Linked DNA regions of Diceros bicornis minor. The protein of the gene in region 2 purifies or fractionates together with the protein of the main gene of each other region. This does not show direct contact. Links are inferred from orthologs where the notes say so. Each region holds a gene or a part of one and is shown on either strand. Other genes may lie near its edges. The genes, in order: RAB8A and MICALL2.

Evidence for each region.
Region 1: the proteins of MICALL2 (region 2) and RAB8A purify together in Homo sapiens (co-immunoprecipitation; 3 studies listed by BioGRID and IntAct, with this or other methods). This does not show direct contact. The link is inferred for Diceros bicornis minor from reciprocal best matches to the Homo sapiens genes MICALL2 and RAB8A.

Annotation. Positions count from the first base shown.
Region 1 is NC_080759.1:4,348,908-4,360,358, forward strand, and holds the start of RAB8A (ras-related protein Rab-8A), read left to right. Parts: upstream 1-5,905; 5' UTR 5,906-5,940; coding exon 5,941-6,064; intron 6,065-10,557; coding exon 10,558-10,618; intron 10,619-11,451. Other genes in the region: TPM4 (tropomyosin alpha-4 chain), read left to right, coding at 1,617-1,699. UniProt on the Homo sapiens protein: The small GTPases Rab are key regulators of intracellular membrane trafficking, from the formation of transport vesicles to their fusion with membranes.
Region 2 is NC_080765.1:13,064,817-13,076,817, reverse strand, and holds the start of MICALL2 (MICAL-like protein 2), read right to left. Parts: upstream 4,767-12,001; coding exon 4,624-4,766; intron 1-4,623. Other genes in the region: basic proline-rich protein-like, read left to right, coding at 4,765-5,128, 5,244-5,425. UniProt on the Homo sapiens protein: Effector of small Rab GTPases which is involved in junctional complexes assembly through the regulation of cell adhesion molecules transport to the plasma membrane and actin cytoskeleton reorganization.

The DNA.
Region 1 (11,451 bases), on a different chromosome or scaffold from region 2:
TACAGACTGTGTAAGGGCAAGTATTTTTGGTTTGCTCTCTCTGCGTATTTGTTCCTGGGATTTTTCCAGACGTATGTAGCCTCCATCCTTTGAAATAACTACAGCCCTGTCTATCCAGTCATTCTGCCTAACTAAGCATCGAAGTGGAACTTCATTTACAGAGATTAGGGCTTGGAGACCTACTGCTACCTGTTGATAGTCTATGGGCCTGTCACAGTTCTCAAGGGCAATTATTGCTTTAAGGGAAATTTATTTTATCTCAGACCTAATAACAAAGTAGATGCCAGGGAATCCAAGTGGCAAGGTGAAAGGAGGTCAGGATTTGAAGTCGGAAGATCTGGGTTTGGATTCTAGCTCTGCCACTTTAGCTGTGCAGCCTTGAACAAGCTACCTAGCTTTTCTGCAAAATAAAGGTGATACTTCAGCGACTGCAAGGATTAAAAGAGATAATTGAGAAATTGGCTCACGTATAGTAGACACTCAGTTACCACGTGTTCATCCAGACGGGACAGGCCCAGGTCACTGTTCTCTCTCCGAAGGAACCCTCCCAGATCATAGTCACCTGATTTTTAAGTGCCTCATCAAATGAAAGGTTCACTAGTTGTAGTTGAAAGGCTGCCATTTTTGCAGTCTCTTTTTTTTCTTTCTGAAAATTTCCAAGCTGATCCTATCACATTTTATGAGGCATTTTTGCTTTCCTCCAGTATTTTAATGAGTCTTGGCCTAGTCCCTTATCGGCCATTGCTCATTGCAAACCAGTTCTCTCTCGTGCTCTGTCATGCATAGCTCTAAATGGCATCTTACTTTTTTTTTTAATCTATTTCAGCAGCTCAATCACTTAATAACATACCCGTATGTAAATTTCAGCCACGTTGCATTTACTTGGGTTTGACTACATTGCTATGGACACACAAACACAATAACACAGTAATGCCTGGAATTTAAACAGCCATTCCCAGAAACTCTAAAGGAAAGATGGGTTACAGGATTATATTTTTCTACCAAAGGCTAATTGACTGGCACTAGGAGGAAAATGTATTAAGTCACCCATAACTAGGATTAATATCTTATGTTTGTGTAGCACTTCATAAGTTCTAAAGCACTTCCCATTTGTTCCTCATAATAACCCCTATACCACACATTGGTATTGTTATCCCCATTTGACAGATGGGGAAACTGAGGCCTAGAAAGGTTAAATGGCTTACTTTGGTGGCAAAACTGGGGCTTAAATCCAGGTGTTCTGACTCTAGGATTGTCAGATTTATTAGCAAATTAAAATTAAATTTAGCAAATTAAAATACAGAACACCCAGTTAAATCTGAAAGGGAATGAATAAATTTTTGATATATCATGCAATATTTTGGGAAATACTTATGCTAAAAACTTCTCTCTTGTTTATCTGAAATTCAAATTTGTATTTTATCTTGCAACCCTATCCAAATCCCTGATTTGGTACTTGATCTCTATTATTCTATGGTACTCTGCTATAATTAAAATGCAAAGTACCTTCTCTGCTATGACTTTAATTCTGACAGTTGGGAGTTTAGAAACCTTTTTTTTTTTTTTTAATAAAGATGCTTATTAATTTATTTTTCCCCACTCTTAATCCTCACCAGAAAAACTTGCCCAGGCCAAAGAAGAGAACGTGGGCTTACATCAGACACTGGATCAGACACTAAATGAACTTAACTGTATATAACCAAGACAGAAGAGTCTTATTCCAACAGAAACTCCAGAGCTCCGTGTCTTTCTCTTCTCTTGTAAAAAGTTTGTTATTGCATCTTTGCTTTGCTGGAAATGTCAAGCAAATTATGAATACATGACCAAATATTTTGTATCAGAGAAGCTTTGAGCACCACTTAAATCTAATTCCTTCCTTTTTTTCAAATGGCACCAGCTTTTTCAGCTCCATTTTTATCCTTAAGTTGCATTTATTCCTAAGGTAGGCAGGGTATTTCGTATTGAGCATACTCTTAAGACTGAGGGCATTTGGTTCCTGGGAGAATAGACAACCCCACACTTTCAGAACACAGACTCCAATATCTAGTCATGGGTCAATTTAAAAGGCTGAAGGATGTAACCTTCTGTACCAGCATTGGTCACACTACAGGAAGCAAGGGACCATCACATTAAAATGGGTGGGGAGTTTCCATCCAGAGCAAAAACAAAAAAACCGGGGGGGGGCTATTGTGGGAAGTCATAAAGCACAGATAGATTAACCTAATCATCTTCTTTTCCACACTCCACTGTGCAGAACAAACATCCTCTGAGCAGTCAGCACGAGAATGCTCAGGAAATGGTCATAATTACCCCAGTATTTTCTGGATAGATCTTTGATGTTATGCTGTTTTATGTGTTTTATTCTAAAGTTGTTCTGAGGAGCAGATGTCTAACTCCAATAATGACCCATGCTTGTCTGCTCTGATATGAGGCCATCCACTCAGCAGGAATGAATATGGTAGAATTCAGTCCTATTCAGAGAAGCCATATCAAAAAGACTGCTAGCCATCAATAATTGAGCAAGAGTGTTTTTCTGTTAACAAATACTGGGCAGAAGTAGAGAATAAAAAAAAACTGGCCTAACTTCATCTCCTCTATACTTAAGGGAATGACAAATTGAAGATTTACTTATCTAGGACTTTAATTCCTTCTTTAGGACCAAGTTAATAAAAGACCAAGAAGCTCCTGATTAAACTGGATATGGAGTATTTTGTAGACAGGGGTGCACATTTTGGCTTTGTTATATTTCTGCTTTCTCAGTTAACATCTCAGAGCTGAAACATTCCACATTCCCCAGCAATGTGGGGGCCAACTCAAGTTTACAATTCTGACTAAAAATCACCCTGCTTCTAGCTTATCCAAATCCTCTGCCCCTCACTCCTATTTATTAAGCATCACACTACCCAGGAGGTACACTAGCAAACTGTGCAACTGAATAAAACCCACACTTTTCATTTAGATTCTTGCAACTGTATCATATGTAATAGTATCACTTTTTCTACATTTTGGTCAAATAAATTTTTACATAAACTACAATTTGTGTGAATTTTGGAGTGTGGGGACATACACACCATTTTGGTTCAATGAATGTTAATGGGATGGAAAGGACAGATAACTGCCAAGAACTTAGCAAATGTTATTTATTTGCTTTATACCATGACTTCAAGATATAAGGATTATGATCTCTATGTTACAGGTGAGAGCACTTTGTCTCAGTAACTCAAAAGCTCCTGTTATCCCCAATCTTGCCTGGGCCAGGCTGTGCAGAGTAAGATTTTAATAGATGAGACAGGGGCAGGAAAGATGGTCCCTGTTGAGTCCATAAAGCACAAGGCCTGCCTGGGTAAGGTCTTCTGTATGTTGCATATAAAAAGGAAAGCAGTAGGAAAGCTGAAAGGTAGGCTGCATCTATAATGATGCGGGCCTGAACTTGACTGCGTTAGAAGTGGAGAGCCACTGAAGACTAATCAATAAATCAAAGAAATACATTAGGAAAATCCACTTAGCATTTTCAGGAAGGACTAGAGTAGGGGCAGACTAGAGGTTGGAAGACCAGTTAGGAAGATGTTTCAATTAATCAGGATAGTGCTTGCCATAGAATAAGAAGGAAGAAGTGATCTGAAGGAAGTAATCTTAAAACTTAGCTGACTGGATGGCAGGGAACTTAAAGAAGCAAGTGTCAAAGCGGACTGCAGTTTCACTACCTGAATTGCTTTGATATTTGCCTCAGGATCTGATCTTGGGGAAGGGGGACAGGGAATCAAAAAGAAACGAAAGCCTTTAAAACATTAGTGTAGTATGCAAGCAATTTTTTGTTACCAACTACAATTAAAAACATTTCCTTCATATTTCCTTCATACTCAACACTTGGCTGACACTGTTGAGCTGGCAGATGCAGGGAACGTCAATGAATAAGGTGTAACCCCTCCCGAGTGCCCTACCATGACTAGATTGAAGTTCCTTCTCTCCCTCCTCCGCACCCCCCGGACGGTAGTCTAATCTCAGGATACCGTTTGTCACCCTCGTGCCTCACTCCTTAACGTGTGCTCCGTGCCTGTTGACCTGGCCTCGGCTCTTGCGGCGTTCGCAACGCCGTGAGGTGAGGTGGAGCGCAGCGGGCGGCGAGCGCCCGGTGGTGCGGACTTGGTGCTGCCACCAGGCCGCGGATGGGTCCTGGGTGCGTGTTTTAGAACGGCCACACTGCAGGGTGGAATCTGGATTAAAGAATGATCCGGATTAGGGAGACCAGTGGAGAGAGGCGACCACTGATGGGAAACGGAAATACAAGACCCGGATTCGAGAGCTATTCAGAACCTCCTTCAGACCCAGGATGTGAGGGACGAAAGGAAGCGTCCAGGACGACTCAGGATTCGCTCCGAAGCTACCTCAGGACAAGCTGGAGCGCGCAGGAGAGGACAAGTTCCGTCGCGGACATGCTGACAAACCCAAAGGCAGACGCCCAGAGGGCAGGGGGTGACGAGGCTGCGTCGCGTCCTCCGGGGACCGGCACTCACAGCGAGACGCCGAAGCCACGCCGAGAGCGGGCACGCACGTCCGCACAGCCCAGCAGAGGAGGGCCGCCAGCTAGGCACGAGCGGAGAGCCCGACCGCCTCGGCGGCACCTGAGGAGCAGCCCCAGGCCAGGGGGCGGGGAAGCCGGCCGGTAAGACGCGAGGGCACCAGCAGAGAGGGTGCCGGCCGCGCGGCCCGCAGTCCGAGGACCACCGGAGCCGGAGGGGCGCAAGGGGCACGGCGGCGGCCGGGCCGTCCTGCGGACACCCCCGTGACCCACGGCGGCGCGGCCACAGCCCATCCCCGAGAAGCGGGAAGCCGTGGTGGTCGAGCCCGCGGCCGCCGGCTCGTCGGCCTGAGTTCAGAAGCCGGCTTCCCCCTTGCGGGGCCGGGGAAGGCCCGCGCCTGCCGGCCCGGCTTTCTCCCCACACACCCGGGCGGCACCTCCCGCCTCGGGGCCGGGCGCGGAGGAAACGCCCGCGCGTGCGCTGTGAGGGCGACAGCGCCGGCGGCCCGGAGCCGACGCTCACAAGCGCGACCTGACTCCCTCGCGGGCTCCCAGCCCCGGCCCTCAGGCGGCTGACCGGGCGGCGGCGGGCGAGGCCCGGGAGACAGGAGGCCGAGAGAGGCCCGGACAGCCGCTAATGCAGTCAAGGCGCGTCCTTAGGAGCCCTGCGCACCTCCGGGCGCAGCTCGCGGCGGTGAGGCCGCTCAGGCGGTGGAGGCCCGGCTATCTCGGAGTAGGTCGCCTGGCCAGCGCCGAAATGGCAGAGCACGTCTCGGGGAGTCCTCGCTTCGACTCTGACGAGCGTCCGTACGTTCCTCTGCTCTTTGGCTCCCAGCGGCCTGACGCGGAGGGCCGCAAAGCACAGATTACAGCCGCCGTCTCTTCCCGCGCTCGTCCCGTCGCCTACTGAGACTGCGCGGGCCGTGAGGGCGGGAGCCAGAGACCCATGCGCGTGCGCCCTCTGCTGGCGCCTAACGATCTCCTCAGCGCGCGTGCGCACGCGCCCCAGGCCCCGCCCGTGGGCTGCGAGCGCGCGGAGCCGTTGGCGACGCACCCCCCACCCCTCCCGTCAGGGGACGGGGCGGGGCCGCCCAGAGTCCGGGAGGCGGGGACACGGGGGTGCCACGGCCCCGCCCTGATCCCCATTTGAAGCCCCTCGACTCGTCACCGCTGGCCAATCGCAGCCCGCCCTGTACCGAGCGCCAGCCAATGAGCGGCGTGCTCGGGCCGCTTCCGGCCCCGCGCCCCAGTCGCCCCTTCCCCAGCTCTGCTGGCGACGGGCGGGGCGCGGGGGCGGGCGTCAGCCGCAGTGACGCGCGACGGGCCGGGAGCCAATGGGGGGCGGGCTCCGCGCTGATGGACGGGGCCAGCGGCCAGTGGCCAGGCACTGGCCGCACTTCCCGTTGGGGAGAGAGTGTAATATGGCGAAGACCTACGATTACCTCTTCAAGCTGCTGCTGATCGGGGACTCGGGGGTGGGGAAGACCTGTGTCCTGTTCCGCTTCTCCGAGGACGCCTTCAACTCCACCTTCATCTCCACCATAGGTAGCGGGGCCGGCGAGCGGCCGGGCGCGCCCCTGACGGGCTGGGGTTGAGGGAGCGGCCGGGCCGGACTGACTGAGGGCTCTGAGAGGGTCGAGGGGGCCGGCGGGGAGAAGAGTGGCGCCTCCACCGCCGTTCGGGGGTTCCCGGGCCATGGGGAGGGCCGGGTGTCCATTTAGAGAGGCTGAGGCCTCGACCCCCAGCCCGCTTGTCTGGGAGCGTATGTCCTGGGCTGGGGTCTTGGCGCCCGTCATCTCCTGTCGTCGCAGAGGCCCTCGAAGCGGTTCTTTGGGGTCTTAACAGAAGTGGAAACTGAGGCGCGGAGAGTTGGCCATGGGAAAAGGACCGTGACATCTGACTTTGTCGAGCATTTATTGTCTGCATATCACACTCTCCAGGCCTCTGTGTTAGCTGCTGTTAGGAGCCCATCTCACGGAGGAGGAGTTTGAGGCTCGGGGAGGGCACGGGACTCGCCCAAGGTCACACAGTGTGCAGGTGACAAGGATGAGATTTGAACCCAGGTGTGTCTGACCCCAAAACTCAAGGTTCAACCATCCCAGAGAGATGCGAGCACTCACCCCCAGGTCAAGCACAGCTGATCCCCCTCGGAGCCAGGACTCCAACCTAGACTTCCCCTGCTCTTTCCTCTGGAATATTCAGGAGTTGAGCCCCTCCCCCTGACTCTGTTTCCCCTGTGGCTGAATTTCCTCTAGAAGGAATGGTGAGAGGGAGTCCTGACCCTTTTCCTGCCCAGCCTTCTGACCCAGTCAAGGTGACAGCAATGGCAAGTGACAGCTGCCTGCCCGTCATCCCCAAGGAGATGCCGGATTAAAGCTTCAGGGAGAAACTAAAATCAGCCAGTGCCACAGACAACCCTGACTTCCCTATCTCGAGGCCCAGGACACCGGTTGTCACTTTGCAGAACAGCCTTTCCCGCAGGGCCAGCCCACATTGTGGTTGAACAGAATTGGCTTACCACTCCTTGGTTCTGACGTCCACAAAAGTGGAGCTGACTTCGCCCCCTGCCACAAAAACTGCCACTGCCTACTTGGAAAGGTTTGATCTGGGGGTAACATCAGTCACAGAGTGGCCTGTGAGCCTCACTCTGGAGTGGGGAAGTGAGACAATGGTCGCCAAGCTCAGGAGTTGATCTCAAATGGAGAAAACCTAGGGAAGGGGCTTTGCTTTACCCCCGTGTAACTTGAACCCAATCGCCTTATCTCCCTGAACCCCACGATGAGCTGCTGATTCCGTCTTTGCTCTCCTCCGGAAGCGCACTTTGCAAAACACTTAGGTGCCAAATGCTGAGAAAATTAGACTGGAAATCATCATGCCTGATTTCCAGCCACCACTTGCCGTTGAACAAGCACTTGACTTCTCTGAGCCCTGTTTCTTTGGTTTAAGTGTGGTGCTTTCTGCCTTGACCAGTGCTCTGGATGGTTGAGGATCAGAACTGTACAATGACTAGGGGCTTTGTCACCACTGCCAGAGGCTGTCTAGAGGAAGCAGAATGGCTCCTGTAATGACAGCAGCCCTCCCCTGGGCACAGGTGTTTCAAATTCCTCCCCTTCCCCCACTCCAAGGTCAAACTTTGGGATAACCTTTGCATCCCCACCAGTCAAGAAGATGTTAACTCCTGGCAGGTTGTGGCTCTCTCCCAACCCAGACCTCAGTTTCCCGGCGTCGGAAATTTCTTGCTCAGCAAGAGCATTAGTGAGATCAATTTGGGAGTTGGGGTTTTTCTTTGGTTTCAAATTCTTGACCAGAAAACCCAGTCTAGCGCTTTAGGGCTCCAAGGAAGCTGGCTTCCATTTGCAGGCGAAGACGTGACTTGGGCGAGGTCGCATAGGGAGGTGAAGGTGAACTTGACCCAGGATTCTTCTCATTAGATATGTAGCTTCCTGCAGGCCTCTGTCTTCTAGGAAAGTTTAAATCACTCAGACCTTGAAGTTATGGCCTCATAATTCTTAGGCCCCATAAAATTTATACTTCCTAATTAAATTTGGTGTGTTAATATAACCCAGGAGGAGGATAGGGCAGAGTGATGCCGTGGAGCTCTGCCAATTGAACAGTACTTCTTGATTTCGTATGTCTCTGTGCATCTGTGACAGGAGGTGGGTAAAGAGACCACACTGGGCCGCTTAGTCCTGAAATACAACTTAATGCATAAAGGCGATTCTCTGTTGGCACTGAGTGTACCTCCAGGTTTTCTTTATAGATTTGGGATTAAGTGCCTGTTCATTTTCTGCCCAGGTTTCATTTTGCCAAAGCCTGTTCTCATAAGCTGCATTGATCATTAGTGGTGTGAACTTGGCCCTGTGGCTCCCTGGAATTGGTTCTGCCTAGCCTGGCTCTGCCCCCACTGCCCCTCAGGGCCTCATTTATTCATTCCTTAAGGAGATGGATGATGTAAACTGTGCGGCACCACGAAGACCCCGATGCACTTAATTCTTTCATTCAGCTGTCTTTCCCCAACGCCTCCTGCGAACCAGGCATCCGCCTCCGTGCGGGGGTTGCAGAGATGACTCGGATAAATCAGAGGGAAGCAGAAATGTAATGAGGTCTGTGCTCAAGGTGTGTGTGCAGGGCGATTGGCTTCTAGCAAATGTGTATTCAGCCCCTGCCCATGCTTAGTCATTGGAGATGCTGCCCAGAGTAAGAAGTGGGAGTCCCTGCCCTCGAGGAGCTTATTTCTAGTGGGCAGAATCCAAGTGCAGGCTTATGTTCCCTGTGGTCCCCAGGACAGCTCCTAGGTGGGCAGGGCTGGAATTAGCATCTCCATCATGGCCTGAGCCTCAAGTCAGAGATTGAGAACAAACTCCCCATGCCAAAGGCTAGGTTTGGCTATTTCCCCTCCACGCAGGCCATTCGCATCATTCCCCTCCACGCAGGCCATTCGCATCAGCAAGTTTTACTCTTGGGTTCATGGAGCAAAGAAACAAATATACGATGTCGGGGATAAGTGCATGAAGAAGAAAAAGCAAGTGAGGGGAGAGAGAATGCAGATGGTCAGGAAGGCTCCCCTGAGGAGGCAACTTGAACAGAGACCTGAGTGAAGGGAGTGGGGAGCCAGGTGGCCATGGAAAGAAAGAACATTCCAAGAGAGAAGAGAGAGCAAGCGTAAAAGCCCTGAGGCCAGAATGGGTTTGGGATCTTTAGGAATCAGCTATGAGGGGGGCATGAGCCATGGGTGCTGAGAGGTGACCAGGTTAGGCAGGACCTTGGAGCACACTGGCAACTATTTTCACTGTATTTGGGGGCCGAGGAGGCAGTGGGAAGCCACTGGAAGGTGTTTTGGGGTTTTTTGATAGTTATATTGAGATATAATTCACCTACCATACAACTCACCTACTTAAAGTGTACAATTTGGTATATTCACAGAGTTGTACAATTATCACCACAGTCAATTCTAGAACATTTTCATTATTCCAAAAAGAAACCCCAAACTCTGTAGTCACCCCGCCTGCCAATCTCCCCATTCCCTCCACAGCCCCTGGCAACCACTAATCTCCTTTCTGTCTCTCTGGATTTGCCTGTTCTAGACATTTCATATGAGTGGAATCATACAGTATGTGGTCTTTTGTGTCTGGTTTCTCTCACTGAGCACAATGTTTTTGAGGTTCATCCATGTTGTAGCGTGTGTCAGAGCTTCATTCCGTTTTATGGCTGAGTAATATTCCCTTGTATGGATATACCACATTTTGTTTAACCACATTTTGTTTATCTATTGGTCTGTTGGTGAACACACTGGAAGGTTTGGAGCAGGGGTTAGCTTTGTAACATGGTTGAATTTGTGTTTTTGAAAGCTGGGGAGGTGACTGAGGGGGCAACAGTGGGAGCCTGGAGAGCAGCCAAGGAGGCCAAGAGGTCGCCCTCATCCTGAGGAAAGGGAACTAAAGCCCGTGGGTGGGAGAGAAGGAGGGCAGGATCAGGAAGGCTTCTTGGGGGCTGACCTTCTAGCAGATCTTAAAGGAGAAGGGGAAGTTTGCCAGGCTGATGGGCGGGTGGAGTGGGGCCCCTGGCAGAGAAGGACCAGCATGTGTGAAAACTGGAGACCCATGTGTATCATAGTGCATTGAGGGGCCCAGTGCACCGTGTGCTTGGAGGGCCAGGTGCAGGGTGGCGGGAATCGTGGGTCTGTGACCTGCCAAGGGCTCTGTTGGGCCCACTCGGCAAGCTACCTGTGGGGGAGGGAAGAGAGCAAGGCTTTGGCACCTGAGCTGCTCAGGTTTGCCCAGCAGCTCTGCCAGCTGCCAGCTTCGCTCTGAGAAGCTCCTGTCCCCCTTGGAGCCTCAGCTTCCCCTTCCATGAGGGGAGCAAGTTCTGCAGCTGCCTCCACATTCGTTGTGGGGATTCCGAGATTCCACGCGCACATCACCGGGTAGGTGCTCCCTAAGCCGTGGCTGCTGTTCCCTGCACAGGTTGGCAGTGCCTGCCTCAGAGGCAGCTTGGGAAATGGGCTGACAGTAATGTGCCTCTTTTTTCTTTTCTTTAAGGAATTGACTTTAAAATTAGGACCATAGAGCTCGATGGCAAGAGAATTAAACTGCAGATATGGTAAGAGTCGCTGTCTTCATCAGCCCCTTCGCCTGGCAAGCACTTCAAGTCAGAAGCCCCTGGTGCCCCCTCCCCCTGCCCTGTGACCATGGCCTCCATCTCTTTGTGCCCAGCCAGACACATCAGGCTTTCTTCAGAAGCCCCAGGAGCTGTACTCTTCTGGTTGCTGGGGCCCAGAGTCTGTTCCAGCACCTTCTGGGGACATAGCTACAATCCCGCTTAGCTCAGCATTCTGATGTGGGCACAGCCTGGGCTTCAGAGCAGCCTGCCTCCATTGAACTCGGAGAGAGCCCTCTGTGGCTGGCGGAGGTGAAGGCTGCCAGGATGATGAGATGCCCCAGCCGGGCTTTGTTTCTGAGACTGTCAGCTTGCTGAAGAAGGCCTGATATCGCTTCCTCTTTTCTCTCCCGGGGAAGCCCAGGCCTCACTTCCTAGTGCGCAGCCCTGAAACCCCATAACCAAAAATAAGCTGAGACCACGCCTGGTAATGAGGCCTGTTTCCATTCCGCTCACCTGGGGCTGACTTCCCGTGCCATGTAGAGTTAGAGAAGCTGTGAGTTCCCGTCACTGACGCTGACTGTGGGCTGCTGACCACTGCACTAGGAACACTGAGCTCAGATGGTCAGGTGTCAGGGAGTCCCGCCCTGTAGCCACATCACTTGCAGGGAAGCACAAGGCCCGTGCAAAATAAAGAGAAGCCACATTTGGGAGGGCGGCACGGTCCCTCCATTCCAGGCAGGTGCTGGTGGGTGGGAGGGAGCCCGTGAGATGCGCTGTGAGATGGCTGTCCTCCCTGCAGCCCACTGGCCTCCTCAAGTCTCGGCGTGACCGTC
Region 2 (12,001 bases):
TTTGTGGCATTTGTTCATCCTATCAACCTTGGCCGGGTGAATGAACTCATTGGGTCTATATGTCCATTGTGCGACTGTTCACCCGTCCACTGTCTGCTCGGTGCCAACGTGTGCGCAGCCCCGGCCGGCGCCTGGCCTGGCTGGGAGAGCCTGAGGCACGGCCTCCTGCCTGCCTCACCAGCCACAGCTGACCAGGACCATGGACCTCAGATCATTGAAGCAGCCAGCCTCCTGCCCAGCTCCTCAGGGGCTCTTGGGAATGTGGACCCCCTTCCAAATTCCTGGAGAGCTGACCTCATGCTGTTTATTTCCTGGAACAGAATGCGCCCCGTGGGGGGTGGGCGCTGGGCCTGGAGGGGGGCTGACGGTGGGGTGGGGGAGCGCTGTAGGCACCTCCAGCACATCTGGAGTCACTCCCGCCTGCGGGAGAGGGCGACAGACAGACAGACCGACGGAGAAAGGCTGAGACACAGAAGGGAGAAATGGTACCGAAAAGCCCAGAGATGAGACAGGAGAGGCCACAGGTCCAGAGAGAGGGGTTCCAAGGAAAGACACACCCCGGCAGACACACAGGAAGCCCTTGGGAAAGGGCGGATGGCGCTGGGTGCGGAACGGGCCATGAGGAGATGCCGGGGGCCCAAGGCAGGGAGAAGAGGTGCTGGCGCCGCATCCCAAGGCCCCAACCTTCTCGTGGGCAAATGAGACGCCTCGGTCTCGGCTGCCCAGCTGCCGGCCTCCGCAGGCTGGAACAGACTCTGACCCCCACCCCGGCCTCAGAGCAGGGCCCAGCCAGGAGGGGTCAGCCCGGGGGCTTCTGGGGTGGCCTGGGGGGGCATCACAGGGGCGCTGGGCCCTGGGCTGCCCCAGGGAGGTGGGCTGGCGGCCCCTTTCCACCGGAAGGCGGCAGCTGGGCCTGGGCAGCAGGACCTCAGGCCAGAGAACAGAAGGCCTCTGTCCCCAGGCGGCTTCCTGCTGACCGCGAGGCTGGCGTGGGAGGGGAGGTCAGCCTCGCCGCCCAGGCCCACCCCACCCTCTGCTCCAGCCCAGGGAACAGGGCTGCCTCCAAGCTTCTGGGCGGGGGCCCTCTGGAGTGAGTCTCTCCTGACCCCCCACAATGGGCGCGTCTCAGAGGGCGGTCAGGGAGACGCCCCTGTTCCTGGCCCGGGCCCCGCCATCGGCCCCTGAGCTGGAAGAAAAGGACAGGTCACTGCACCACAGGACTGAGCGAGGAGAGCAGCAAATATGCAGCAGAACCCCCATTTCCTGACACCCTCCCCTGGCCCAGCCACAACTCCCACAATGGCCCGGCCTCCGTTGTCCCTGGAGAAGGCAGCCAGGAAGCCAGCCCTCCTCCGGGCTCCTCCCCTGGAACCTCAGTCCCGGCAGATCAGGCCGGAAGGGGAAGGAGCGGCTCCAGCCCTGACAGGCTGACTGCCCAGGGAGGCAGGAGGGGCTGTTTGTTCTGGGCGGTTCCTGAGCTCACCTGGCTGCTCAGCAGACGTGGCGTCACCGGGAAACAGACCCTTGAGAAAACCTGCAGAAAACCTGCAGCTGCAGGCACGGTGGGCATGGTGGGCGCGGCAGGCTGACCTCTCGGCCAGGCATCGCTGGGTGAGCCCATCTCCCGACCTCCAGCGGAGATTCACTTCCCAGGGTCCCCAGGGGGCCACCAGCGCAGGTCACACGTGCCCCCGGGAGCAGGGCCACATGGGGCGGCGGAGACGGAACCAGGAAGTAGCGTCAGGCAACCTGTGCCCCGACCTGGCCGGCTCAGCGCCCAGTCTGCTCCTTCGCAGCTGCTCCCCGCACACCGCCAAGAGGAAACGGAGCCGCATGCAGCAGGAAGGATCGAGATGAGACAAGGGAAGCAATTCCTGGTGGCAAAGCTGGGGCACGTGGAGACAGGATGTCCACTTTCCTGCTGCCAGAGGGTCTTACCAGGATGGGGAATTGGGGGGCTCCCCCGAAATGACAGCCACCCCGCAGGTCCTTCACCACTGGGGCAGAGGCATGTATCCAAGGCTGTGCTCGTTTTCTGCTGCTGCCGTGACAAATGACCACAGACCAGGCGGCTTAAAACCACGGACATTATTCCCTCCCAGCTCTGGGGGCCAGAAGCCTGACATCAAGGTGTCGGCAGGGCCACACTCCCTCCAGAGCCTCTGCGGGAGATGCTATTCCTTGCCCCTCCGGCTTCCGGTGACTCCAGGTGTTCCTGGGCTCGTGGCCGCAGCATCACTCTAGCCTCTGCCTCCATAGTCACAAGGCCTCCTCCTCCTCCTCCCTACGGCACTTGTGCACCTGAAGAGCCCTTTGCAATGACAGCTACCGAACTCCTACCACATCTACTGAGCCCCAAGTGCACGACCTCATCTATAGAACTCCAACTCCGTGCTGATCTCTACTGAGTGCCTGTCCTGTGCCAGGCACAGTTCCAGGCACTGGGGATCCAGCAGTGGACAACACAGAGAGCTACATTCCCACCCTTCTGGAGCTGAAGGTCCAGTGTGGGCAGACGGACGAGACGATAACCGAGTCAGCAGTAAATAAGATAACTGGATGTTCACACGTCACTGCGGGCAGGCGGGCAGCCTCCTCTTCCTCCCTGTCCCAGCCCTCACACCCTCTGGAGCTACCTTGAGCTTTTACTCACTCATCTGTGCACTGTCTGTCTCTGTGACTAAAACGTCACTCCCTGAGGCAAGGGCCAAGTCCATCTTGTACACTACGCAGTGCTGAGTAGACAGCAGGTGCTCAATAACGGTTACATGAACGGCAATAGGATGCCTGCTTGTGCCAGCACGTGTACACACCCATATGTGCACGCCTGTGCTCACCGCGTCAGTGCGTGCTGGGACAGGCGCACACACACACCCAGGCCTCTGGTCTCAGCACAGCTGGGAGCACATGCAAGCTCCGGGGGCTCGGAAAAGCCCCAAATCTTCAGTTCTACCTGTGCCGTCGTCCTGAGGCTGCTGCACTGACAGACAGCGGCATCATCTTTCCCTCCAATCGCAAACTTATGCTGACCCCACCCAGGCTGCCTGGGCTAGGTCCCCAGCCAGCCTTACCCGGGCCCCTGCATGCACCCCCGTGGGGCTCGGTCCCCAGCCAGCCTTACCAGGGCCCCCGCATTCACCCCCATGGGGCTCAGCCTGCCAACCTCCACTCCTGGTCCCTCTCCCAGTTTCCACATCCCCAGCCCACCCCCATCAAGGCTCAGCTTCGGGTTTCAACGTGGAAGCATCTTCTGCCCCGGTCTTCTGCCTCTAAGGGCGACTGAGGCACATCCCTGTGTGGGGAGCAGAAGCTGCTGCCCAGATACCACACGAGGACTCCCCACGGAGCCCCAAACATGCATTTCCCAACCTCAGGCAGGAAGAGGAAATACCTGCAGGCCTCTTTCTCAAGGCTAGCTTTCTCGCACAGAGGGGTGCTTGGGGACAGTCCCTGAGGATGCAAGGGACATCTGGGTGCAGGGGAGGTGCCCCAAGAGCCAGCCCTGGCTGTGCCTGACGTGTGCTGTGACCTGAACAACGGTGTCTCCTCTCCGGGCCTCAGCTTCCCCCTCTGTACAGCAAAAGGCCTGACTGGTCAGTATCTAGAAGGTGCCCCCTCTGGCCTCTCCCAGCCCCAAGACCTCCCTAGCAAGCGCACCCCTACCGACCCCAGGTCCAGCCGCCACTTCTCAGGAGAAAGCTTGTCAACACCACGCTTTCTCTAGAAGGCGCCTGGGCTACAGGTGGCCCTCCAAGGACACCCTTCCTGAGCCTCCGCCCACCCAGCCCCAGCACTCTTCCCTGCAGCTTTCCCCATCTCAAGTTCACACGGGGCTTGGGGCCGGGGCCTCCCTGCACAGAGCTCTGTCCCAGCAAGCCCGGTCCCAGTCACAGCAAAGAGTGTTTGCTGAGTGAACAACGGCTGGAGCGGGTCCAGGGTGGGGACAAGATCTGGCAAGGCAGGGCCAGCGTCCCAGCCAAGACTCCAAGACCCTCCACAGGGATAAATGACCTAACCCCCTCCGCTGCCCACTTTCCACGGCTCCCAGGGATCCGGGCCCAGCCTCCATCTCATCCCCCATCACCCTAAGGTATGGAGGCCTGGCTGACAGGACCTGGGGGGTCTCAGGCTTCCTGCTCTGTGTTGGCCCCTCCCCCATAGTGACCCTGGGCTGCGTTCCTAAAGCTGCCTGGACAAGCTGGGGGAGGCGCAGCTCCACACATGAAGCCCCCCCCCAATCCAGTGGGCAGGTCCCAGGACAGTGGGGATCGCAGAAGACCCAGAAAGGCAGCTCTGCCGGCCGTTTCCTAGGGAGACGGAGGGGGATGGGTGGCTGTGGCCAGAGCCCAGGACGCTGGCCTGAGTCACGGACTGACTAAGCCAGCGGGGGTGGCCGGACGTCCTGGCTCCGGCCCAGCCCCACTTGGTGGACAGGCAAACTGAGGCCATGGGGTAGCCTGCAGGGGCCACAATGGGTTGCACCTGCGGACCCGGTTCTGCTCGGCCCGAGGTCGTCCCCCCAGGGCCGCGGTCCCGGAGGTCTGACTCGGTGCCCACTCCCCCGGCCCGGAGCGGTCTGGCCTCAGTTTCCCCGCGGGGTCGGGGCGCGGCGAGGGCACTCACATGAGGTCGGGCCGGTGGCGGTGCAGGATAGCGCAGAAGGCCAGGCCGTCGCGGAACGACGTGGTCATGTTGGTGATGCTCACGTCCCGGTAGCCCTCACACTGTTGCCGGCACCACTGCTGCAGCGCCTGGATGGCCGCCATGCGGGCAGCGGCGCCCGGCGCACCGCGCTCCCACCGCTCTTCCCCGAGCCGCGGCCCGGCCGCCCTGGACGGACGCTCGCGCGGACCGCAGACCCGCCGATCCCGGAGGGCGAACCCAGCCCGAGCCCGGGAGGACAAGGGGACCGACGCCCGGCGGCAGCGCCCCGTGGAAGACGAGCAGCAGCTGCCGCGCAGCCGGCGAGAGCCGGCCCGAGTCCGCCCGCCAGGCCCCGCCCCCTCTAGGCCGCGCCCCCGGACAGAGCCCCGCCCCCAGGCAGAGCCCGCGCAGCCAGGCCCCGCCCCTGGGCAGAACTCGCTACAGCCAGGCCCCGCCCCCAGGCAGAGCCAGACCCCGCCAGACCGTGGCCCCGCCCGACCACCCACGGCCCTGCCCCCTCCAGGCCCTGTCCCCAAACAGACTCCGCTGCGGCCAGACCGTGGCTGGCCTCAAAACAGAGCCCGCCTCCTCCCCTCCAGGCTCCTCCCCCGAAAAGAACCCGCCCCCGCCCCGCCAGGCCTCCCCGCCCCGGACCACGGCCCCGCCCCGCAAGCCCCACCCACTTCAGGCCCCCTCCCTGGACAGAGCCATTGGCCCAGGCCCCGCCCCCAAACAGACCCCGTCCTCGGATAGATCACAGCCCCGCCCCAGGCCAGGCTGAGCTCCGTGAAGCCGCGCCCATCCGCCAAGGCCCCGCCCTTCCCCACCTCCCTCCCCTCGCAGCCCCGAGGCAGGGGAAGGGGCGGCGCCCAGCCTGGGGTCCCCCCCTCCACTGCTCCCGGGAGGCTTTGGCATTGTCTGTTTTCAACGTCCCTCACCCGCATTCCCCCCCCCACCCCCCCACCCCTGTCATGGAGAGGTGGAAGACAACGCTACTTTACACACGGGGAAACTGAGGCTTGCTCGGGGTCACGTGGCTAAGAAATGGTGGAGATAGACCCCGGCCTGCCTGTGGCCCTGGGCAGCCGTGGCCTCTCCGGAGGCTCCCCCAACCCCCAGCACGGCAGGAACACCCCTGGCATTTCTGGGTTTTCAGAGGACTTTCCCATCGGGGTTCTCATGCTGGAGGAGTGGCAGGCAAGGCAGGGATCACTACCCGATTTACAGAAGGGACAACTGAGGCTGGGCGCTGCACTGCCCTGCCTGGCGTGGCCCATAGGATGGGGAGGGGAGGGAAGGGTCCTCCTGGGGCAGGAGACCCCTCAGGGGTCTTGGTGATCTGTTCTGTTTCCCAGTTTTCCACTTTGAGCATCTGTGACACACATCATTAAGGAAAAGTACCTCTTGTGGGGCCCTCAGTTACCCCAGGGCTGGTCCCCTCCACATTCTTCTTGTGGAACTCTATCTGTGGCCACCTGGACAGAGACACTGACACCAGAAATGTGAGATGGTCCCCCTGCCTGGCCACCTGGCCCCAGGGCTTGTCCAGACAAGGCCCTAGGGAAAGAGGGAAGGTGTTTTCCCAAGAACAGCCCCTGGCAGGGAGACAGGGCAGCTTCTCTGCACCCACTTGAAGGAGCAGAAACTAAAGTCTTCCAGCCCAGAGCCAGCACGTGGCATTCCAGCTGTTTCCTGTGGCTGGATCCTGAGGTGTGGATGCCCAGCTACCCAAGAGTGAGTGAGGCCTGTGCGGAGGTAGTGAGCTCCCCGTCGCAGGGCGCGTGCAAACAGGTGCTAGACAGGGATTCCCTTTGACCTGGGATGACCGCTGGCCACGGCTGCTGCCCTGATCTGCTGGGGGTTCCCAGCCAGAGGACAAAGGGTGATGTCATTCCAGTTCAGCCAGGCTGGTGGCTCGTCCCGGAACCAGGAACCAACCGGGCTTTCTTGACCCCCAGGGCAGCAGTTAGGAGAACTGGAAAAGCCGGTGAGGAAGGGAAAGGCCAAGAAGTAGTGGTGGGGGAAGAGAGTGGACGAGGGTGGACAGGGCTGGAGACCCACTTCCCTGGGAAGGAAGTGGGAGGTGGCTGGAGCTCTGATGCTTAGGAGTTTAAGCTGCACTCTTGCCCACCGGTCACCATGCGGCCTCCTCTGGGGACAGTGACTTGGGAGGCAGCACAGCACGTATGGTGGTTTCCCCCTAGCACCTCACACACAGCATGTCCTTCTGTCAGCTCGGCTCCTCTCCAGGGACCCCCAAGCCAGGACACACCCAGTCCACCCACTTCTCCCCACTGCCACCCTCCCGTCCAGGCCACCGTCACCTCGCCCCTGACCGCTGTGCCAGTCCCCTTAGGCTCCCTCCTGCACTCCGGCCACTATGGTCTACCTCTCCCCAGCAGCTGAGGGATCTTTCTAGAAAGCCAATTGGTCCAGCCCTTCCCTGCTTTGCACTCTGAATAAAGTCCAGGCTCCTTATCACACCTCCCACCCCTTATTGCACCTGCCACACCCTGGCCTCACCCTCCCTGCCTGCCCTGCCCCTTCTGGCCTCAGAGTCCCCGCCCCGCTGGTCCCCTGCGTCCTCCACGACCCCAAACCAGCCCCATCCGCAGCCGGCCACACAGTTGCTGATGGGGACTCCACCTGGCCAGTTGCTCAGGCCAAAAGCCTCCTGTCCTCTCACTGCCCACATCCAGTCCCACAGGAAACTGACCACTGGCCACCTCCACAGCCACCACCAGGGGTGAGCCTGGATCTCCACAGGACCCTTCTAACCGTGCCTCTGCTTCTGCCTTGCCACCCACTCTGTTCTCAACACAAAATCTTTAACAGTGGGAGTGACAACCTGCCACCCCCTGCTCACACCCCTCCTCTGGGCCCATCACCCTCAGGAGGAAAGCACAGTCCTTATAATGGGCCGTCCAACCCTCCCCACACTCCTTACCTCTCCTACCTCCCTCCTACAACTGCCCCTCGGACATGCTTATGTTTCTGCCTCAGGGCCTTTACACTCACTGTTTTCTCTGCCTTGACCAAGTTTTCCCGCCTCCCTTGCAGCCTCCCTTGGGGGCCATGTGACTGAGTTCTGGCTGATGGAGGTGATGTGTGCACCTCCAGACTCTCCATCTTCCCTAGTCTGCTGGCTGGGTGCAAAGGACCTACCAGATGATGGGGCTACAGATGGAGGAGCTTGGACACTGCAGGGTCAGGCAGGTGGCCACCGCTGACCAGGAACAGCTGTGCTGGCCTGTGGGTGAGCGAGAAATAAATGTGAGCTGGGTTCGCTTGCTGGAACTTTGGGTTTGTTTGTTACAGCAGCTAGCTAGGGTCTCACCCTGGCTGGTACACACACACAGATGCAAAATTGCACCTGTGACAGCCCTCCAAGGGGACTCAGTGCCACTCGATGGTAAAAGAGGAACCCCTGTCTTGGTGCAAAAGGCCGGAGATAGCGTCCCTGGGGAGGGGACATGAGCACTGAGATCTGAAGGGAGAATGGGGATTAACTCATCAGAGGAAAGGGAAGGATCTCCCCAGCAGAGAGCGTGGCGCAGGCAGAGGCCCCGCAGGGGAACGACGGCACAGACAGGAGTGAGAGGCTAGTGCAGCCGCAGCAGAGGAGCAGAGAGGAGGGGGCAGGCCCCACCAGGGCCCTACTCCAGCCTCTTCTATCAATTCTCACGCCCATTTTCTCGGTTAGTCCTTACAGCCACCCTTTAAAAGTGGGTTGACCCTACCTGTTTTGCAGCCGGAGAAACAAGTTCCGAGAGACAGGGGGGCCCACCCGCCCAGCCCAGCAGCGGGGCAGGGGGGCAGGTGGGCCCAAGGAGCCTGGGTCAGCTCAGGCTATTGCCTGCTGAGTGGCCACCTGGGCTGGGACAGGACTTCCAGGCTGGACGTTCTCAATTTCCCCACCTCCTGCCTCCAGCACGTGTCTGACCTCTTGGTAATGATGGAGGGGCCCTCCCTGGGAGGAAGGGGAGGCCTCAGCCCTTCGGGCTGGCAGGGACAGGGCTGGGGACCCAGGGAGGGACAGGGCCAGAGCCATCACCAACTTTCATCCAAAACGCTGGCTCCAGCTGCACGTCAGCTTGGCTCCTGGAGGACGCCATGGCTACTGCACCCCAGGAGGGTCTCCATGGTGGGGACCGGGTAGGGACTTTGGCGTGGTGGGGTGGGGTCGGTAGACCTTTCAACTGGTGGATTCAGCCCCCAGTAACTGATTGGACTGAGGCTGCTGGACCAAGTCCGAAGAGAATCGGGGTTGCTCGCCCAAACGCAGCAGACCTGGCAGTGCCTTGAGCCTCTGAGGCAGAGGGAGGAACCAGGAGGGAGGGAATTGGGGGGCGAGAGAAAAAACAAAGAGAGGTGCCCTGGCCCGTGCAGCCTTTCCTGTGGGACTTCTCAGAGCCTCCATCTCTTGATGTGTTCTGTGACTCCCAAGGGAATGGCCGCACTGCACAGCAGTTCCCAAACCGACTTCCCTGAAGAACCTCCACTGCAGGAGCGTCTCACAAGATGTGAGTCCCGTGGAATAGAACTGGGAGCCCTGGCTGGCACAAAGGCACAGCTAGGAGTCAGACCAGCAGCCTGAGTAGGAATGCCCGCTCAGACACTGGCTGGCCCTGTGACCCTACAGAAGGCTCCTCACTTCTCCGAGCCTCCTCATCTTCACAGTAACATGGGGCCTCTCATCCCCGGGTGTTTAGGGAGGATGGCACCAGGGCTGACCTGTGGGCACACAGCTCCCTGCCCAACCCACGGTAGCAATCATGGTTGTAAGAGATGGATGCTCAGGGGGAGAGGTGAACAGAGCCCCCTGGAGTGGATGCCAGCCCCCTCACCGTCTGCACAGGAAGGATGGTTGGAGGGTCACACTGGCCTCACAGCAGAACGTCCAAGGGATGTCCCCTCCTCCCCCACTTCCCAAGGCCACAGTCAGGTCAGCCAGTGGCTCACTTGGGTGTCCGTGGATGCCAACGCCATCCCTTCGGCCCTAGGCAGGAGAGGGAGCTGGACACTGCAACACCCCATTTTAAGGGGCTGCCCATTAATTAGGCCCGATGAATAATGCATGCCACCTCAGTATATTAATAGCATATTTATATGGTGTGCTATGGATAGTATACGTCCTCGTCTGAACACCTCACAAATAATTCACGACCCTGCTCCTCTCCCGGGCTCCAGAACCTGGCCGGGGCTTCAGCTGGGGCTCGTGGGTTGCTTCCAACAGCCAAATTTTACATTTCATTATAAATGGCTTTGCTGGGCATGTCGGTAACTTTTACATTTCCATCCACTTTATTATTAATGGCTTTCCTGAACTGTAACAGCCCAACGTCGCACACAATGCATTATAAATATTTGATTCAGCATCTATAGTCTGCCATTTATCATTTATAACGGGTTACAAAAACATTATAAAACATTTACCGCACATTTATAGATCATTTTCAGCTACTACGACGATGTGTTAAAAATACATTATTAATCCTCCTCACGCCACTTATAGGAGCCCCTTGTAATGGGGCCTGGCCCTCCCGGCTCCTGGTAAACAGAGCATGCAGGGGCTGGCGGGGGTGGCCAGGCAGCAGGACCAGGGCGGACGGAAGCCCGGCCCTGCCTCTGATCTCTGTGTGTCTTGGACCAGATCACAGCACCTCTCTGTTCACAAAACAGGTCACAGTGACAGATGCCCTTTGTCGAGCCCTTTCTGTGTGTCAGGTGCTGCTTACAGCCACCCTGGGACTTAGGCATCACTTTCGTGCCCATTTACAGATGTGGAAACAGGCTGGGAGAGGGAGTGACTTGTACAAGGCCATATCCAGGGCCTGCTGAGTGGCATTAGAGCCCAGGGGTGTCTGTCTGTGCCTCTGTGTTACCTGGCCCAGGGCTGGGGGCCAGAGGTCAGATGAGGCTGCCCCGCCCCTCAAAGGAGCAGGACTGGAGGACTCCAGGGAGTGGAACTCAGACAACAATTCAGGGTGAGAGGACTCGGGGTGGGGGACTCAGACGAGGAGGATCTGGGTGGGGGCCCTGGGATGGGGAGACCCAGGGCGGGTGCGGGCCTGGGCTGGTGCACCCGCACTCTGGCCTCTGACCCGGCAGCCCCTTGGCTCCTGCAGCCGCATGCTTTGCCATCGCAGTGGCTCTCTGGGCTGGAATTTTGGCTGTGGGCACCTGGAATACCGTCTGTAATGCTGATGGGGGGTGAACGGGCCCGAGGGGTCTTGGGGACCCAGCGGCCCCTCAGATCCAGCTCTGTGTCCTCAGGAGGCCCACAGGAGGCTGGGGACGGTAGCGGCAGCCCAGACGTGTGGCAGTCAGCAGCTGCTCCCTCCACCAGAGGGGCCAGTGGGGCCCTGGGCTCTGCAGCCAGAAGTCCTGCCCTAACCCCACTCCTCTCCCTGCGTGTGGGCAGGTGGGGAGGAACCAAACCTTACTGAGGGGCCTGCTCCCCCAATCTTCCTCTTGGGGTCTGCTCTCCTTACCTGGAGCAGCTGGGACCACACCATTCACTGGACAAAGTCCCACGGAGCCCCACCATGTGCCAGGCCTACCCTTGCTTCCCATGGAGCCCCACAGTCCCCTCCAGGCCAGACTTTATACGAGGAGGGCACAGGCAAGAAACCAGGGCTGTGGGCTCACCACCTACACGGGACAGCAGGCGAGAGCCCTGGGCCTCCAAAGGTAGGTTGATGAGGGGGAGAGTCCCCACCTGGGGAACTCCTAGTCCTTCAAGACCCACTTGACATTTCACTTGCTCTGAACAGCCCTTCCCGACTCCCCCAGGCACAGGCCCAGTGGGATCTGAACTCTGATGCCCTGGGGGCCCAGCCGGGGCCTGGCGCTGGGATGGGGTCTGGACCATGAGAGGGCTCTATAACTAGACTTCTAGCTCTGCCTGCCAGCCCCCCTAGAGCTTTCCTAACAGGTCACTTCTCCAAGGAGGAGAGAGGTGGCAGGCCCTGGAGGTGGCCTCAAGCCACAGCCTCCCCTGCCAAGACACTTGAAATGACCCCACCCGCCAGGCCTGGCCTAACTGGGTCAGAGCGTGACGCTGCTCCGAGGAAGGAATAGGGGGAAGGGGGGGGGTCCTGGCCCAGGACCCCTAAGCAGCTCCACCCTGTGTGACTGTGGGCAACTGTCTGGCCTCATTACCAGCTGTGAAAGGGGCCGTAGGCCAGCCCTGCCAGGATGAACATGGGGGCATGCGCCCCGGGGAGCCCTCGTGGAGAAACCCAGGGCCCCAGGCTGCTTGCGCCTCCCTTGGCCCTCGGCCCTCAGCCCGGCCCCGCTGGCTGTCTGGCCTGTTTGAAGGTCAGGGCCCACCCCTCCCCAAAACTGAAAACGA